Linked DNA regions of Nothobranchius furzeri. The protein of the gene in region 2 purifies or fractionates together with the protein of the main gene of each other region. This does not show direct contact. Links are inferred from orthologs where the notes say so. Each region holds a gene or a part of one and is shown on either strand. Other genes may lie near its edges.

Region 1 (3,518 bases), on a different chromosome or scaffold from region 2:
CGTTTGGATAAGCCGTTACGTTTTGGTTTAGAGTTCATCGTTTTTGTGGTGTAGATCTCCCTTTTATTACATTTAGAGTGTTGTGGGTTTTTGGTTTAGTTTAAGATATCACCGTGAGTTTGGTTTAACCGCCCAGTTTAGAGTTTGGACCTTTGCAGATCCTTATTTTGGTCCAGAACCCTGTAATCTTTGCCCAGTGGGACATCCCTACTTATTTGTACTTTTGTTTTAATTCCCCACGGGCAGAATTAGTTTTATTATTCCCAACCTGTGGATGGAAAGATTTATGTTTTTTTGTAGTTGTAAAGAACCCTGATCATCATTTTAACTTTTAAATCCCGCTATTGTCCCTTCCTTTTTGCACACGAGCCAAACTCCCCAGGAAGGGTCATAACACCACTCGCCTCACACACATAAGTGACCAAAACAAAGCAGCATGGAGACACTCCTTCTCCAACCACCTCTCAGGCAGCAGGCTGCATTCCCAAGTTCTACACGTCACCAGAACATAACCAACCGCAACACAATAAAAGCAGTGTTATACAAAATGGAAGGTCTGTAGCGTTTATTCTATTACAGTAACAATTGATCAATTTCTTGGAGGAATTTATTAAGAGATTTTCTTGTTTTTATTAATTATGCAATAAGAAAATAATTACTAGATTAATTGTCTAAATCGGGGGTCGGCAACCCGCGGCTCTGGAGCCACATGTGGCTCTTCCATCCATCTGATGCGGCTCTCTATGCTTGTAAAATAATGAATGGATATTTAAATAAAATGCTTTATATTTTACTGCATTAATTTTACATCTGTAAGCTAATTCTAAATGTAAAGGTTGTCTGCGTAAACCTGAACAGGTCCAACCCAGTCTTACTGTGAGACCGGGTTGACGCGTCACGCTTGTGCGTAATCATAGGCACTTTCCGAGCTGAAGAGGATGTGAGATTCTGGGATTCTCCTCAGACAGGCTCCTGGATGTGTCGCCACATTGGAGACAGGAACAAGCGCTATTCAGCCAAAGTTTCATAATCAGGGAACATTTTCTAAGTGACAAGTCTCGCTTCAGTGGGAGGAATCTTCACGCATGCGCTCTGGTTCTGCGACGCGCTCCAAGCCCCTCTCCACATCTTCAGCTCGCTGTGTACCATACGTATGCGCTGACAGTGAGCTGCGCTGAGCAATGTCCAGCTCAGATGTTCAGATGGGAATCTTTTCTTGAGTGATTTAGCTACATCTGCGATGTGTGTAGAATAAAATGTCAGTTTGTCTGCATGCGTCGGGGTAATTCTTTCTATTCTTTCTCCGTCAAAATAAACGGTCAAATACGGGAACTGTCCGGTCAACACAACACAAGCCCTGCTTTTAACTGTTTTGTTTTCTTGTGAAAATTGTTGCAAAGAGATATAATTTAACTTGATTAACACCAGAGCCAGGCGCACTGCGTCGTTATCTCCGCTGCTGTAAATGAGGGAAAAACAAACTGATCGGATCCTTTTCTGACCTTCCCCACCTACAAAGTTTAATTACAACAATCAAACGTGACAGAGCCTGGATTTGTATTCTGAACAGTCTAAACATGTTGTAAAAAGAAACGTATGACAAAAGTGGCACCTGCTCAGTAAAACCAACAGGGTGAAAAATATCAAAATATTGTAGGCAGAGACGGGCTACAACTTCTGGATCCACTTTATATAAATCATTTTATTGATTATCTTTTTTATGAAAGATAACTTTGACGTACACGAGCGACCGGTACCGACTGCTGTCACCTGTTGTGATTGGTTAAGGCAGCGCTCTGCTGTCTGAGGGTAGGCCCCGCCCACAACGCCGCGGCTGCTGTGGCTCCCAGTGTTTTCTTTACTGTGGGAAACGGGTAATAATGGCTCTTTGATGGGAACAGGTTGTCGACCCCTGCTCTAGTCACTAGAATAGTTGACTATTCGATAAAAAATCGTCAGGATAATCGTTTTAAAAATAATCGTTTACCCCCAGCCCTAACCTCCACAGAAACTACTGCAGATCGTTATGGTTACCGTTTTGGTAAGAGGACTGTATTTACAGAGTTCCAGAACCTCACAAGGCGCTTGACAACAGTCTTTCACCTAAATCTCAGGGTTAGTTTAAAAGGTTATGCTTGCTGATTTATAAGGTTGTATCTGATCCTTTTCACCCAATGTGATGGAACGTCCCCACTAATAATAATAATGTCATTTATAAAGGATTAAACCTTTTCTTTTTTACTCAGTGTAAAACACACCGAGTCATGGCTTTAACGCGATCACCTGTAACAGAACGTGATTGGTGCTTTAAAAGATTTGTGGATGAGGGTCCGACTGACCGTGTTCGATAATCTCCACCAAGCTACGCAGATGAGGCAGAATGGCGCAGCCCATCAGGATGGCGATCTGCTGTACTATCTTGATGCCCGTGTGTCGCGCCTGCCACGACTTCTTGCTTTTGCACACAGCTTTGAGGAAGGGCAGGAGGGAGGGGATACCAAGAGCCGAGGCCACCACCGCGAAGGCTCGAGCAGTCGTGTTTCTGACATACTCATCCATGTTGTCAATATCAGGTCGCATTGTGGAAATCATTGTAGCCAAACCAGCAGCCTTAAAAACATGAGAAAAACAAGTTCACAGGTTACTCTGATTACCACTGAAAGCCCAAACACAGCATCAGTCAGCAGAACAAACACTTTATAACTATGACTGTGCACTCATGCTGAAGTATTTAACAGATGCTGCTTCTTTGCAGAGGAACTGTAACCAACGGGTGCAGGTTGAGAACAGACTAGGCATTAAGGTCAGGTCTGCATGCTCTCATGTTGGTATCAATCTGGCGAACAACTAGCCCTGATCAGACCACAAACTGGTCAACCAGGCGAGAAAGGTTCGCGTCATTTCTCTGTTACATCAACAAAAGCAAATGGCAGCTAAACAATACCTTCGCTAAATTAGAGATGATCTCTCTGCCTTCAACTCGAGCATAGTAGTCCTCATCAATGAGCAGAGGCTCAATCACCACGAGAATCTGAAGAGAAAAGCTCAGGTTAGAGCGCCAACATCCATAGAGACAAATGCACGTCTCCGCAGTGAACCCACCTTGTGCACATACGGCCGAACCAGGTCATCCAGTTTGTAGAGAATCCTGTCGATAACTTTCACCAGCAGGTGGCGCTCCTGGTCTTCCAAGGTAGGCGACATGAGCAGCGGCAGGATCTGATTGAACAGGGGACCAGCTCCAAACTCACGGGCTTTGTCTGTGATTTGACGCAGAGCCGCCTGATAAAGAAAAGAGACGCGTCAGATAAAAGCCTCACAAACACACAGAAGTACTTTGGTTTAGCGGTTGCACCAACTGCCTGCTGAAGCAGACCTTTTCTCTGCTACGTGGAACAAACTGGCACCTGCTGATCTTTTTATTTGCACTTTGTGAAAAAAAAATACTAGCTGTAGTTTATAAACCTAAACAAACGAACATCACTATACAGAAGGTCACAGCAAAAAGTCTGTGGGGG
Region 2 (4,037 bases):
GTCAGCTATGCAGTGGGAGTCTTGCTGTGTACCAGCGTACCTTCTCTTTTCTCCTTCATTCTGTTGAATCGTTTTCTTAGGGTGTGTGGGAGGGAGATGCACTTTCTTTAGTCGTTCATCCGTCTGTGTATACGCTTGGACTCTTCCCCAGTTTATCCTCAACGACGTTTTTCTTTGCAGTCAGTCCGTCGTGCTTGTAGGCAGCAGTTTCAAGCAGACATTTCCTGACTCCTGTATCTGAAAATACTCCTCAGCATTTGTGCAAGTATCACAACATAGGTGGACACAATATTGTTTTAGAGCTTTTGCTTTAAGAAGCAATCTTGGACTGCAAAAAAAGGTATTTTACTTTGGATTTGTATCTTAGAAAAGCATTTTTAAAATTTGTTTTATTTTTATATTTATCATACTGATAGAATTATTTGCTGTAAACCAAGTTGTGCAAATTAGTTAATTAATTTACCTATTTATTTATTTATTTATAAGTTCATTTATTTGCTTTAGAGTAGTTAACATTTATGAAATTTATTTAGTTTGGGATAAAGTGCATCCAAGTTGTACATTCTCTTAAGATCTTCATAACAAATACAATATTTTCCCAAACATTTTAATTGCTGGAAGAAAATGTATTTCGAATAATTTTACTTGTTAATATATTATGACGATCTTTACTGTGTGGAAATCTCTCTCTCTCTCTCTCTCTCTCTCTCTCTCTCTCTCTCTCTCTCTCTCTCTCTCTCTCTCTCTCTCTCTCTCTCTCTCTCTCTCTCTCTCTCGGTCTTGGTCAACATTTTCAGGAGCTTTACCACTTTTTTACTTGTTTGTTTGATAATGATTATTGTAGCTTAGCACCACAAATCAGAGCTTTTCATGAGTAAATAAGTCAATTTGTTTGTGTATTTGTTGATTAATTTATTCTTCTTTTTTTAACTAATAACAGTTGGTCATGCTGCAGAGGTCCGGCAAGTCTGTTTAGTCTGTTTCAATGTTAAACTTGTGTTGTTTTAAAATGATTTTCAAAGGGGACGATGTATAAATAAGAAGAAATAAGAAATAAAAACAGAAAAAAGTTGATATTTTACCTAAAATGTTTTCATGGATATAAATCTCACTGTTTGTCATCTTAAAACGAAGTATTCGCAAATAAAGCAATTAGTTTTCATCTATTTCTCAGTTTATGGGCCAGTGACTTCATTTCCCAGAAGGCCTTAGGAAGCTCATTACGTATTTAATCTGCGACAAGAGCAGAGCACAACATTAGCTTTAAACGGACAAATAAAATAGCAACAGCGTGTTTAAACAGATTAGTTGTCTTCTGAAGTTTTTTTTCCCCGAGTAAATAATCTCAATTTGAATCTCAGAGGTGAGTTCTAACATTTTAATAAAGCTTCAGGAAACGTTTAGGAGACGTTTGATGCCGCTAGCTAGCTAACAGCGCAGCTGGTGTGTTAACGCGGCTGAGAAAAACATCTTAAAATGTGTTAATTATTATATTTATGTTATGTGTTGCAATTTTACATGTTATTTGAAGAGCTTGAAGTAATGAAATGCCATGCAGCCACTGAAAACGAGACAAAAAGTTGTATACTACCAATAGTATTTCAATGAAATACTGTGTATGAGGTTTAAAATGTATCTTTAGCAAACTATAATTTTAGTTTAATAGCAGTTTCAGGTTTACCGGTTGCACGAGATAATTTTGGTCGTGTATAAATGTTTAGAAATCAGTTAAAATGAGTAATAATGTAAAACATAGTGATTTGCTGTACATTTGTGTTTTCAGCCTTTTGAAATAGTGAATGAGACAGTATTTGGTGTTTTAGAAAAGCAGGTTATCTCTATCTGTGTACATGTATGTGCCAGTGTTTACTTGGTTTCACTAAAATAATGTGATTTAATCCAACGAAATATCAAATTACATATTAAAATTAGATTATTTAGTAGAGGTAACTACTGGCATAAATACGCCTTCTATTAAATTTTTCCAAAGATTAATGAAGTTTTAAATTAAAGAAACAGAAGTATGGAGTTAGTGGAAAAACATGTTCAAAAATCTGAAGATCAGAGCTACAATAAAAATAGATGTTCATCATTAAGATGAGGCTTTTATTACCATTCTTTCTTTTTCTCTGTGTGTGTGTGTGTGTGTGTGTGTGTGTGTGTGTGTGTGTGTGTGTGTGTGTGTGTGTGTGTGTGTGTGTGTGTGTGTGTGTGTGTGTGTGTGTGTGTGTGAAAATGTAGAAGAAAAGTGCTGTTATGAATATACTGTCTAAGATGAGAAGGGGGTGTACACAGACACACACTTTGGTTTGTTTTCATGTATTTATCATCTTCATATTGTTATTTTTATTCGCTGCTCTTTTGCAGATGTCTCTAGCAGACGAGCTCCTGGCTGACCTGGAGGAGGCTGCAGATGAAGGAGAAGAAGGATTGTATCCAGATGAGGAGGAGGGAGACAGTGATGGAGAGGGGATCCAGGGAAGGACACAGGCAGGGCTGGAAGACATTCCAGAGGAGATGGAGGTGGACTACAGTAAAGCTGAAAGCGTTGCGTCCATCGCCAAGCTTCGCAACAGCAAGCAGGTTATCATCTGAGTTTTCTGTGTAGTGAGATGTACAATAAAACATTAGAATCCCACTTAACTGTGTGTGTTTTTAGTTTTCAGACATCATGGACAAAATTTCAGAATATGTGGGAAAGCAACGCAAAAATTCAGACGGTCAGTTTGATTCCTTTGAGTTTCATCAATGCTCAGGCGTCCCTCACAGCATTTAAATCAGCTCGGTGCTGACAAATCTGAAGTGATTGCTGTGTTTGTTTTTAGTCTCTGGTCCTGTTGAGGCTGATCCAGAATACAGGCTGATCGTAGCGGCCAACAACCTTACTGTGGAGATCGACAACGAGCTCAGTGAGTCAGCTGGCTGTTCCGCTGCGAGGAACCGTGACAGAAAAGCGTGAGGAGTAATTCCACACATCTAATTTTTCTATTCCTTTTGTACTTTTAGACATCATTCACAAGTTTACAAGAGACAAATACTCCAAGAGGTTTCCTGAGCTCGAGTCTTTGGTGCCAGATGCTTTAGATTACATTCGCACAGTCAAGGTGAGCTGACGTCTTGATTCTGAATTTCACATTAAAATGTCACCTTTTTGAATATTTGTGTCATTGGTTAAATGTAATAAATATTTTCTGAAGGATTTGTGAAATCACACAATTCTCTGCTGTTTATTTACATTTTTAATTTTATCTCCAAACTTTTTAAACGTAAAACCGGATTAGTTTTTTTTTGTTTGTGTTTGTGTGTGTGTGTGTGTGTGTGTGTGTGTGTGTGTGTGTGTGTGTGTGTGTGTGTGTGTGTGTGTGTGTGTGTGTGTGTGTGTGTGTGTGTGTGTGTGTGTGTGTGTGTGTGTGTGTGTGTGTGTGTGTGCAGATTTAGCAAAACATTCAGTAATATTTGTGTGTTTTTTGTAGGAACTGGGAAACAATCTGGATAAATGTAAAAACAATGAGACCCTGCAGCAAATCCTGACCAATGCAACTATTATGGTTGTCAGTGTCACCGCATCGACCACACAGGGGTGAGTTTTCCTGTCAGAATCCTGTTTGGCGAGTGAACAGCATGAAGTTTTTGAATAATTCAGATGTTAAAGGGGCATTATGGAAGTTTGACAGCCAAAACATGTATAGAAATAATAAATGTCTTCTTCATACATTCTCCTGCAATGCCCTGGTCCTGTAGAATGAGCCCTGGCATTTTTACTGTGATTGCCTGTTTTTCTGTAAAATCACAGAAAAAGAGAGATGCTCGGGTCGAGCAGGCTGCTTCATGCGCGTTCACGCTCAGGCATCGCCCGTAGCATTTGCTATCCGTAGCTTTAGCAGCAGAGAGAGAGGCAGTGCCACTTTGTCGCTGTTCCTAACGCCTAGTGACAAAGCTAGCTACATTTCTGAGGACCCTTAGCTACTTTCTGTAGAACTTTCTTCTAGATATTTCCTGCAAATTAACAACAAAATAGCCATTTTCACTCTGAACCG
Region 3 (3,518 bases), about 63 Mb from region 2:
ACAAGGCGCTGCTGGGGTCTGTTAAAGACAGCATCGTTCAGGGCTTCCAGTGGGGCACCAGGGAGGGGCCTCTTTGTGACGAACGTAAGAACCACGCTGAGTTTAGCTGTTGGATGTCAGAATGCTTGTTGATATGGACATACGTAGCTTAATAAATATAAAATGACAGAGTCTTGTGTTTTTTCCTCGCTCTTCAGCCATTAGAAATGTGAAGTTTAAGATCTTGGATGCTGTGATCGCTCAGGAGCCTCTCCACAGAGGAGGAGGTCAGGTTATCCCTACGGCCAGGAGGGTTGTTTACTCTGCTTTCCTCATGGTGAGGCTTGGTTTGATCCATACCTTCTAAATGCTTGCTAGCTTTGATTGAATCATAAATGTGTTCATTAGAACATCGTAATGCTTCTCCGGGTTTTAGTGCTTTAGAGTCTGCTTTGTTCTCCCAGGCCACGCCGAGGCTGATGGAGCCGTATTATTTCGTAGAGGTCCAGGCTCCGGCTGATTGTGTGTCAGCGGTCTACACGGTGCTGGCTCGGAGGAGGTTTGTCTCACGAGGCAAAAACAACAATTCTGACAATTATTTGTTAAAGTTTTAAAAAACTTCTCGTGTGTTTTCCGTCTGTCAGAGGTCACGTCACCCAGGATGCACCTATTCCCGGCTCTCCACTCTACACAATCAAAGCTTTTATCCCAGCCATCGACTCTTTTGGCTTTGAGACTGACCTTCGTACGCACACTCAGGGTCAGGCCTTTGCTCTGTCTGTCTTCCACCACTGGCAGGTGAGATTAAACACGCAACCTGCTTTCTGCGTGTTATCGCTCTGAATTTGATTTCATCAGATTTAGCTGCGATTAAAATTCAAATAGCAGCAGAAATGTGTGGCCTACCAATAAAGTGTGCACCTGAGTGTGACAGTCACTTTGCACCATGAAAAAAATCAATCAATAAATACTTTATTAATCCCAGAGGGAAATTAGAGCGGTAAACAATGTTTTGATCTCTCTGCTGTTGAACTCGTGCGTTTGTGGCAGCTCGTGCTGCGTCGTGGTCGACCTCATGCATGTCTGCCACTCTGGGCAAACTGCTTCTGATCCAAAGGACGGTGGAGTGTTGAGTCATTACTTTTAAAGCGTTATGAGGCTGTTTGTGTCTGCCTGACGTGTGTTTGTGTCTGCACTCTGTTGAGCTGTGTCAGTGAAAATGAACTCCACTTAGGCTAGATTAATATTTCAGCTTAGTGTCTTTAAGCCACGAGCTACGGAAAATATTCCCACGGCACAAATTTAAAGTGATATCGTCTTAACCGTTTTATCCCCTTGAGGTGAAAATAAATGCATCTAACTAGACATTTTAATTATTCACTATATGAATGCTAATCATATGGAGTCGACCAAAATTAATACAACTCTTGACACCTTTGGTTGGTTTGTGTTCAGATACTTTCTACCTGGACTGCACGATATTGGGAAAACCTGCGATATTCGATAATGGTGATTGATATTGCAATGACGATATTACTTGCTATAAATAAAAACTTAACTCGGGAACAAAAATAAAGCAAAGAAATAAAATAAATCATAAAAATGAGAAATGCAAAAGATGTGAGGAAAGGGAAAAGAAAATGATCAAGAAAAGCAGAATCAGCAGAACAAAGCTAACTCAGGTGTTTGCTAACCATTAAAATTAAGTTCCGTCCACCTCGGGGGCGGGAATCTAACCTATGAGAACCCACCCGATTGGCTAAATGGGTGAAGAGCTCTATTTGATTTGTTAAACATCATTCTTCCGTTTGACTGACAGAAGCTTGATGTGAAGCAAACATTTGAGCTGACCATTCATTGCGATATTTTGGTTCTTTGCGATACGCATATTGCTCATGCTGATATCGCGATAACGATATATTTACGATATATTGTGCAGTCCTACTTTCTACAGAATCTTTTTCAAGCTTTTACCAATTCAATACATTTTTAATACATCAGCTTTTCACTACTGGAATATTCCCAGACATAGTTTTATGTAAGCAGCGATATTTAGTTTTTGTTGCTGTGGGGGCCGATTGTTAAGTAATATTGTCAGAATTGCTGGATTTGATCACGTTTAGATTTGGATAATATTAAAATTAAACCAGATAGAAAAATATAAAGATGCTAATCTAAACAAGCAAAGTTAAACGTAAATATTTAAACTGAAAACTAAATGTGTGGAGCTGAATATAAATGTTAAAATATAAAATGTGGTTATCGTATTTGGGTAACGTGCAAATTTAGACTCGCGTGGATGGAAAGTGGCCGACCAAAGAAAAAAAATTCTCTATATTATGGATCATTGTTCCCGTCATGGTTCTGCCGGCGCTTTGGTAAATGAGCCACGGTTGAACTGACGGACAACGTTTTACTGTCGAGGAAGCTTTAGAGACCTTAGACGGGGGTCTCTTCACCCCGCCTTTCGATTGGCCACTTCTATTTTACATCAGTCTGAGTTAGCACGTTAGCTCAATATTTCATAGTTTTTAAGAAAGCTAACTTACCGGAATATCTAAACTTTAACATTAGTGTGGCAAGGTGGACAAACGAGGGCCCAGGCGGGATTTGATCCCCCAGACTCCCGGGTGAGAGTCATACGCTCTAACCAGTCAGCCAAAGGGACATCCCCTTGGCCAAGTAGCCAGGGCGCATGATCTATCGGGACATTGTGACAGGACACTCACACTGTCACATCAGCATTGTAACTTTAAAAATCGACATTTCTACTTGATGTCTGTTTATTTTAGGAGTTCTGTTTGGAGTTGTGTTTAAACGTTTTCAAATAACTTTGTAATTTCCTAAATGAATGCGACGCAAACGTGAGTTCAGGATTCCCACCCCATTTTAATAAGATTTATTTAGTATTTCTTTGCGATTACTTTTACACTTAGTGCCTCATCAATCACCGTTATCATCCGTAACTGTAATTACTGTCCCAACACGACGGATTCAGCTGCTCAGGGTATCCAGAATAGCTCAGAGGTTGGTGTAGTGCACCATTTGGCCACATTTCCTTAATAGTTAGATTTAAATACTCAATGTTATTATGTAATTAGTAGCTCTCACGCTTTGGTTGATTTGGCTGGACCTACTTCACGTACACGCCCACCACCCTGCTAGCAGGTCTCATCTTTCATCTGCGGCTAAATGCAGAACGGGACGATTAATATATGACGCGTTTTGTGAAGGTCATCCTGCAAACTGCCTGGGGTAATGGCTTTAGTGGATCGTTTTAAAGCTCAACCTGCCGACGTTGCATTGTTGCTGTGTTGGTCACATTTGATGGTGTGACGGTGCTTTCACATTTGCACATCTCTCCATCACGCTGATGAACGTTCTGCTGACTCCGTACCAACAGGACAGGCGTTCAGCTGAATCTCATAAAATGAAAATATCCACTCGGCTGGTTGAAAAGTTTCATGTGTTATATGAGAACAAATGTGGTTTCTGTTTGCATCACCTATCTGATCCCCCTTTAAGATTGTGCCTGGTGA

What was found. The genes of interacting proteins can lie anywhere in the genome.
Region 1: the proteins of prpf31 (region 2) and sf3b1 fractionate together in Homo sapiens (co-fractionation; 3 studies listed by BioGRID and IntAct, with this or other methods). This does not show direct contact. The link is inferred for Nothobranchius furzeri from reciprocal best matches to the Homo sapiens genes PRPF31 and SF3B1.
Region 3: the proteins of prpf31 (region 2) and eftud2 purify together in Homo sapiens (affinity purification with mass spectrometry; 4 studies listed by BioGRID and IntAct, with this or other methods). This does not show direct contact. The link is inferred for Nothobranchius furzeri from reciprocal best matches to the Homo sapiens genes PRPF31 and EFTUD2.

What each region holds. Positions count from the first base shown.
Region 1 is NC_091754.1:36,036,824-36,040,341, forward strand, and holds part of sf3b1 (splicing factor 3B subunit 1), read right to left. Parts: intron 3,283-3,518; coding exon 3,103-3,282; intron 3,032-3,102; coding exon 2,945-3,031; intron 2,611-2,944; coding exon 2,340-2,610; intron 1-2,339. UniProt on the Homo sapiens protein: Component of the 17S U2 SnRNP complex of the spliceosome, a large ribonucleoprotein complex that removes introns from transcribed pre-mRNAs.
Region 2 is NC_091745.1:76,608,068-76,612,104, reverse strand, and holds the start of prpf31 (U4/U6 small nuclear ribonucleoprotein Prp31), read left to right. Parts: upstream 1-1,223; 5' UTR 1,224-1,363; intron 1,364-2,367; coding exon 2,368-2,583; intron 2,584-2,659; coding exon 2,660-2,720; intron 2,721-2,825; coding exon 2,826-2,909; intron 2,910-3,006; coding exon 3,007-3,104; intron 3,105-3,473; coding exon 3,474-3,580; intron 3,581-4,037. UniProt on the Homo sapiens protein: Involved in pre-mRNA splicing as component of the spliceosome. Required for the assembly of the U4/U5/U6 tri-snRNP complex, one of the building blocks of the spliceosome.
Region 3 is NC_091745.1:13,626,190-13,629,707, reverse strand, and holds part of eftud2 (116 kDa U5 small nuclear ribonucleoprotein component), read left to right. Parts: coding exon 1-84; intron 85-197; coding exon 198-316; intron 317-443; coding exon 444-538; intron 539-623; coding exon 624-777; intron 778-3,504; coding exon 3,505-3,518. UniProt on the Homo sapiens protein: Required for pre-mRNA splicing as component of the spliceosome, including pre-catalytic, catalytic and post-catalytic spliceosomal complexes. Component of the U5 snRNP and the U4/U6-U5 tri-snRNP complex, a building block of the spliceosome.